2 linked regions of the Rattus norvegicus genome follow. The protein of the gene in region 1 interacts with the protein of each later gene in a pairwise test. Links are inferred from orthologs where the notes say so. Each region holds a gene or a part of one and is shown on either strand. Other genes may lie near its edges.

What was found.
Region 2: the proteins of Mid2 (region 1) and Zfp24 interact in binary tests that used the Homo sapiens proteins (3 or more experiments, as listed by UniProt). The two-hybrid records come from large-scale screens. The link is inferred for Rattus norvegicus from reciprocal best matches to the Homo sapiens genes MID2 and ZNF24.

What each region holds. Positions count from the first base shown.
Region 1 is NC_086039.1:109,237,242-109,241,132, forward strand, and holds part of Mid2 (probable E3 ubiquitin-protein ligase MID2), read left to right. Parts: intron 1-1,567; coding exon 1,568-1,729; intron 1,730-3,304; coding exon 3,305-3,512; intron 3,513-3,891. UniProt on the Homo sapiens protein: E3 ubiquitin ligase that plays a role in microtubule stabilization. Mediates the 'Lys-48'-linked polyubiquitination of LRRK2 to drive its localization to microtubules and its proteasomal degradation in neurons.
Region 2 is NC_086036.1:15,573,359-15,577,281, forward strand, and holds the end of Zfp24 (zinc finger protein 24), read right to left. Parts: intron 2,059-3,923; coding exon 1,520-2,058; 3' UTR 1,387-1,519; downstream 1-1,386. UniProt on the Homo sapiens protein: Transcription factor required for myelination of differentiated oligodendrocytes. Required for the conversion of oligodendrocytes from the premyelinating to the myelinating state.

The sequences.
Region 1 (3,891 bases):
ACTGCCTGAAACTGGAGTTACAGACAGGTGTGAGCTGCCATATGGGTGCTGGGAATCCAACCTGTAGAAGAGCCATGTCTCCAGCCCCCTCTCAATGAATCTTTGTCCTATTTCTATAGTGTACCTTTTTGTTTGCCCATTATGAGTTTTGTTTGTTTGGCTGGTTGTTGTTTGATGTTTTGAGATAGCCTAGACTGAGCCTGGAAGTTGCTCTATAGTCAAGGCTGGTTGTGAAAGACTGATCCTCCTGCCTCTACCTCTGAGGTTCTAGGATTACAGGTATGTATCGCCGTGCTTAAATTGTGCCTCATTTTAAATACTAAGTTAGGCCTTCTCTACATACCTCGAGTTAATTATAAATCTCTTGACCAGATCCCATGTAAAATATTCACAACACTATTTCTAACTTTCAATCTCACTCAATTCTTCATTAGAACTCCATAAACATGACTTAAATTGGTTCTCATTTTCCATGCCCTCTCCTTCCCATCTTCAAGTAGAACTGTATTTTAAAAACACGTTAAACTGAGAAACAGATAACAGAAAAGGGAAGCCAAAAAGAAAAAAGAAAAACCCATTAAAGTAGCATCACTATTCATTTTATCAAAAAAAAAAACCCAGCCAAATACTTACTTTTAATTAAATATATTTCATCCTGTTTAAGTCACTATATCTGTAATCTCAAGATTATTTTCAAAAGCAAAAGCATTCTTGAGATCCTTTTCCCTGCTTGGGAAGAAAGAAACATCGTTTGGATTATAATATCATTCTGGACCACATGACCCAAGAAGAACATGAGATGGGGATTGAGTCTGGAAGAGGTTAAAACAAAATAAAACACAACCCCAACATCTTATAAAAGCAAGAATATTCTACTTTGTTTTCATATCATCTTGGCTCCTTTTGAAGTCCAGCAAATCTGGAAAGGAAGGGTAAACATGAGGTGGAAGGGCAGGAGTAATATGGCTCTGAAAATCTCACTGGTGTACAGGGACAAAGGCATATTGTCACTCACTCGCCACACACTGATACAGTGCATAGATCACTGGAATACGATAAAAGCCTCATCTATGACCACGGGCAAGCCACTTTCCTTCCATCATTGTTTCCTCTGAAAAATGAAGGAAATCCATGTGTAGGTGTCCTTTCTGCTCTGAGTTTCATAATACTGAGCTCTGTACAGGAATGTTTCCATCCATCCAAGGCCAGACTCAGTTCGCACAGAAACAGACTTTAGCGGTAAGGACCCAGGTAGTCCATAACTGTGAGGATCCTGCTATTTTGAATACTGACCATTCTTGTGTTCTTTGGCATTAAAAACAATATACCCTAGCTTTTGTCAGTGCTTGCTAGATGCCAGAAGCCTGGCACAAGTCTAAGTGCATGGAAAAATTAATTAGTGGAATCGTAAGTGCTAGTTCATCTCATTATATCTTTCAAGACTCAAAAGAAAATGAATTCACTTGGGTGGCTATAATTGATTTTCAGTGTATATTTTTTTTAAATCCTAACTTTTTAAAAAAAAAAAACCTGTTGGTTGATGCCTTTGTCTTTCCCTACTTCTCAGGCCTGTACAATTCAGTGGACAGCTGGATGATTGTGCCCAACATTAAGCAGAACCATTACACAGTCCATGGACTCCAGAGTGGGACACGCTACATCTTTATTGTGAAAGCCATAAATCAAGCAGGCAGCCGGAACAGTGAACCCACCAGGCTAAAAACAAACAGTAAGTTGTGATTCCAGGAGAAAAGACTCATTTTTGCTCTCTGTGTCATGGAGGACAGTTAACCCGAGTAGACTCCCAGAGCAGTGGCTCTGAGGAGAGGGGCTTTACTGTTGTAGCTTGTGCTTCAGGTAAAGGATTTGTTGGTGCCCAGGGGTGTTTGTGAACTAAAACATACATAGCACAGCTTGGAATGAGGTTAGGGAAGGGTTTGTCTCTGCCTTCCACCCCTGTCTCCTATGCTTGGGAGAAAATTAAGTTAAAGTGTATTACTTGTGGTGATCTAGCAAAGCTCTACCACAGAGAAGCCATATTTTTAGGAATGCCCTTGATCACCACCGACAGAGTTTAGCAAGGATTTCCAAGTAGTTTAAGTGAATAGTGGTCTTTGTTTGTTTGTTTGTTTTTAACTGCCTGTCACACACTGAAAGAAGTGTGAAGGCAGCCAACTCAAGACTAGTATAGCAGCTGTGAGATCTCTTGAAAGCTTGGAGCTCTGTCTTTGTGCATCAGTTCACCCACAAGGCCAGAAGATGGCCAGTGCAACCTCTGATGTCATATTTCCCTTCAAAGTAGGAAGAAGAGAAAACGTTGGTAAGCCTTTAATCAAGGAAACAGGAGCTTAATCAGAATTTTCTTCCACTCTGCTTGACTTCAGTTTCCTTTTTATTAGTCATCCCAAGCATCGAGGGAGGCTGGCAGAGTGAGAGAGAGAGAGAGAGAAGAAGTAAGGAATGGATGCTGTATAAACACACAGTGTCTATCACAGAGGCATACTGTACACTAAACCTCTTTCAATACCCAGCACTTGGGGTCACAGGACAGTGTTTTTGTCATATGGTTATAAAGGTCTCTGTAGTAAAGCACATGCTATCTTTCATCATTGATGATGGAGCAGCCACTCAAACAAAGTCGCCTAATTATATGCGCACTCCAGTTTCAAAGAAGCAAACATCTGTTGCTGAGTTGGTTTTATTTTTTTTTTTGTTTTTTGTTTTTGTTTCCTTTTTCTTTTGTGAGCAATTGCCTCATTAACACAAAGACTATCCTACCTCAAACATTGCAACACTCCTTTAAAAAATTTCCCTATATCCCAACCCACTCATGGAAGTAAGACATTCTTTTACTTTTTTTAGGCTAACCATTTAAACTAGGTCCCAAAATGACTCAGAAGAAGGTGCAGACCTCCAATGATGGATTGATGGAGGATGGGCGCTCTCTGCAGCTCTCACATTTGAGGATGTGAGACTTGGAGTGGTCCCTTTTAATATCATAATATATGATGGGAACACTTTCTCCTCCGTGCTTGGAATATGACTTCCAGCAAAATGAGATACCCACGTTTTTTCACAGAGGGAAAATAATGCATGAAGGTTATCTTTTGGGAGGATGACTTCTCTTCTTAGTTGCCAGTTGACACTCTTGCCTGCTTTCCTAATATAGTTCAAAGTGCAGCCAACCTACATCATCATATTGGGGGTCCCCTGCTAATGATGGTCCTGGAGGGGAAAGACACAGTTCGTAAATGTTTCATCATAGTTTCCCTTCCCTTCTTCTTTTACTTTTTTTTTCTTTCAGGCCAACCATTTAAACTAGATCCCAAAATGACTCACAAGAAGTTGAAGATCTCCAATGATGGATTGCAGATGGAGAAGGACGAGAGCTCTCTGAAGAAGAGCCACACTCCGGAGAGATTTAGTGGCACGGGGTGTTATGGGGCAGCAGGAAATATATTCATTGACAGTGGCTGCCACTACTGGGAGGTGGTCATGGGTTCTTCAACATGGTGAGTGGGATTTTTTTCTTTCTTTCTCTCATCTTCTCTGCTTTTAGGTTCTTAGGAGATTCAGTTGTAGAGCACAACTAAGATACTAAAAAGTCACGGTTAAGAGATCTTTGATAAGGGCTGGAGAGATGGCTCAGCGGTTAAGAGCACCCAACTACTCTTCCAGAGGTCTTGAGTTCAATTCCCAGCAACCACATGGTGGCTCACAACCATCTGTAAAGAGATCCGATGCCCTCTTCTGGTGTATCTGAAGACAGCTACAGTGTACTTATATATAAATGAATAAATAAAAAAAGAGATCTTTGATAAGAATTAGTCCTAGAAAGTCTTGCCAGTTTTTAAAAGATAAAATTTTGGAAAATCTACTGGGCTAGGAGAT
Region 2 (3,923 bases), on another chromosome or scaffold:
GCTATAAAATATTTGTACTTGCATGGATAATTTTCCATGTAACAATGCCTGTCTTACATACAAAACAAAACAAAACCAAACAAAACCTCTTCTCTTACCCACTGCTTTAACTTCCAGAGTTTTCCATTAAACAGTAGAACCACAGTACTTGGATTCTTAGCCAAGGCATACAGAATCCTACTACTAAAATGTATTACTTTTAATACTTCTTTAAAAAAATGTGTTAAGACTGTAGATTAGAAAATCAATTCTGACCGTTAATAAACTAGTAATTAATAGCTTAGTTGTTTAAAGTACAGTCCATTCAATGTGTAGCTACAACCACAATGCTACTAGAAATGTTTGGATTTTTAAGATTCATAAACTTTCAAACTAAGAGTGTGTCTTGAGCTCAGCTCTGAAGAACGCTAAGAGCTGACCAGCTAGCTCTCCCTCCAAACACAACACACTGGCAAGAGAACTACAGCTCTGGCGCTCTCAGAGGTGGCTGGGAATGGTGATGGGGAAACCCCTCATGACTTACAGTGGAGCGAATACCTACCTGCTTAGGTAGGATTACAGTACCCAGCACAGTGCACTGTCAGTAGAAACGTTTAATAAGAAATGTATGGCTGTTTTAGCCTGGTGTTCAACCCTTTTGTACCAAAGGAATAAAAATAGCAAACCTGATATTGCTGCCCACCCTATCACGGAATTCCCTGTCCTTAACTAGGATGAGGCAAAATGAGTTAAGAATTTTTCTAAAAGCCATGTCATACATATAATTACTTTAATTTTACATTTGCCTTTCAATATCACTACATTCTTCCTTAGTGTTTGATTTACCATCACTTCTACAATTGTCTGTGTTTACACAGGAAAACCATTTTAGTTAGTAAGATTCCCACAAGTTAGGTAAAATCACTTTTTCCTTTGGAGGTTTCCTGTAGACTGACTGTACTTAAGAGACATGCTTCACCAGGGAACTTCCCCAGTTGTCCCTCCGCTCCTGGAAGTTTTGCTGCCATCTCTCGTCTGAGACTTAAGGCTTATCTGACTGCGGCTTTGGCCGTTATCTTCTCAACCTGAACAAAAGGAAGCTAAGCTTTCAAGGATGGTTCTAAACCTTGAAGATGGGCTTTAGATTTTACAATTCCTGTGTTGCCCTTTAAAACAAAAAGGTGTGCACCCTCACAGAACACCCCTCCAGTGATCAACACAGAAATAAAGTAGCTGTCTGAAAAAGGGGAGGGACAGAGAACCAGGCATCTAATTACTTGGGGAGAAAAAAAGAAAATATAAACATCACATGGAAAATTTAGGTTATTAACACCTGAATTATTTAAAATTTCGGTTTCTAGGCAGGTATAACACCATTTCTTTCAAGGTAATAATGGTGAATGAAGATTTTTTTTTTTTTATTTCCCAGTAGATTTTCTCAGTCAATGGGGAAAAATAGTTTCCATATCTCTTCACTTTTTAATTTTGTCTTCATTTCTGAAGAAAAAGACCTGAGTGCTGATTGTTTCCTCATAATTTCTTAAACCTTCACAACATTTAAAAGTTTTTCTGCATTGTGTCTTCTCTGATGTCTAAAAAGATTTGAGCTTTGACTATAGGATTTCCCACACTGAACACATTCATACGGTTTCTCCCCAGTGTGGATTCGCTGATGGTTAATGAGCCCAGAATTCTGGCTAAAGGCTTTCCCACATTCGAGACACTTGTAGGGTTTTTCTCCAGTATGGACTCTCTGGTGCTGCACCAGGATGGAGCTTCTGCTGAAGGCTTTCCCACATTCGACACATCCGTAAGGCTTCTCCCCGCTGTGGATTCTCTGATGAAGAATAAGGGCAGAGCCCTGACTGAAGTGTTTCCCACACTCGTCACATATGTGTTGTTTCTTTCTGGAAGGATTTCTCTTTCTTTCAAACCTGCCCTTGGGAAAACAGGTTTCTCCATATTTGAAAATCTGAGGAACACCTATGTTGAGAGTGCCAGGAACCTCGTGAGACTCTCCCGCTGAAGCGATCTCCTGCTTTGGGGCCAGGGCTCCATTCTCTGCCGTAGCATCATCATCTGAAATAAAGAGAAAATGTAAGTATCACTCAGTGCCTAGTTGGAGAGAGAAGGACTTAAGGAAAGAAGTGGGTTTTGTTGTTGTTGAGGCAAGGTCTCACTATGCAGCTGCTGCCAGCCTCAAACTTCCTATGCAGACCAGGCTGGCCTCGAATTCAGAGATCTGCCTGCCTGCGCCTCCCAAATGCTGGGATTAAAAGTATGTGCCACCATGCTTGGCAAAAAGAAGATAACTTTTTCATGAACTAAAAATAAATAGTTTGTGCACATCTGAGTATATAAGGTTGACTACTCTCAAAAAAAAAAAAAAAAGAAGATTATGCAGTTAATGAGCTAATGGCATGGCAGCAAAATGACACGAAAGGTTTTATCTAAATTTAACACAGGGGCTAGAGAGATGGCTTGGCCATTAAGAGCACTTGATCCTTCAGAGAACCCAAGTTCGGTTCCCAGCACCTATCCTGGGAAGCTCACAACCATTACAACATCAGCTCTAGGGGATCCACCTTCCTCTTCTGACCTCTTGGGTACAGGAACAAGTGACACACACACACATACATAATACACACATTTAAAAAAATAGAATAGGTGACAAACAGATTATCAGATAAGGGGGGAAATCAAACTGATATGGTTAGGTCTGAAAAAACTTTGGAATAAAAAACAATTACCATTAAAAAATGTTTTTAAAGAAATTACATCAAAATAAAGGTATAACATAAAAAGTCTGTCAAGGGGACTGGAGAGATGGCTCAGAGGTTAAGAGCACTGACTGCTCTTCCAGAGGTCCTGAGTTCAAATCCCAGCAACCACATGGTGGCTCACAACCATCTGTAATGGGATCTGATTCCCTCTTCTGGTGTGTCTGAAGATAATGACAGTGTGCTCATATACATAAAGTAAATACATCTTAAAAAAAAAAAAAAGTCTGTCAAACAGTAGCTACTGCTGAAAAAGGTTAGTATGTCACGGCCAATGCTGAACTTAGAGCAGAACACAGGAGTCCTGATGGAAAAAAAGGCCAAGAACTGTGTATGTTTTTTTTTCTTTTTTTTCGGAACTGGGGACCGAACCCAGGGCCTTGCGGTTGCTAGGCAAGCACTCTACCTCTGAGCCAAATCCCCAACCCCAAGAACTGTGTATGGTAACTTACACTTTAACTCCAACACTCACAGAAGGCAAGGGGAGGAAGAAGTCTGAATCCAACGCCAATTCCAAGAACAAAGCAAGTTCCAGTCAGGACACAAAGACCAAGTCTCAAAGAACAGGACAAAAAAGCTAAGGCTAATCTGAGGCCACCTACATTAACTAAAGCCCTGACACTTCAAACTCCAATACACAATAAATGAAAGGTTCCCCATTAAAGAAATGTGCTCCAACTTGGAATTTGTCATGATAGCTGGAAAAATTGTTCAAGTCTTAGAAGTATATGTCTAGAAAAAAAGCCTCAAGTTTAAGCAGCAGCACTGTCTGCCCACAGGCAGGGGTAAGAGCAAGTCGCACCAATTTTTCTGGAACTTTAACAGTAGAGAGAGGACAGTTGTCACACAGAGCAGCAGCGCTCAAAAGTCACCAGTGATGAATGACACAAGGGTTGATCAAGGGAGAAAGCAGAAGAGTGGGAGAGCCAAGGGCCTGAGGGGTCATGAGGCTTACAGGCTTGAAAAGTCAAGTATGAGGGGCCGGTGGACACACGACCTGAAATAAATGGAATGTTCTGGATGTGAAAGCGACTGGAGTGCTAAAATGAGGCCGACAGGGAAAGCTACCCTGACATTCAGGAAGAGGACATGTTCTCTACCCACGAAAGACATCTTGAAAGGATACAGCTCCGGAACTATCCAATGGAACGAGGTCCCATGACA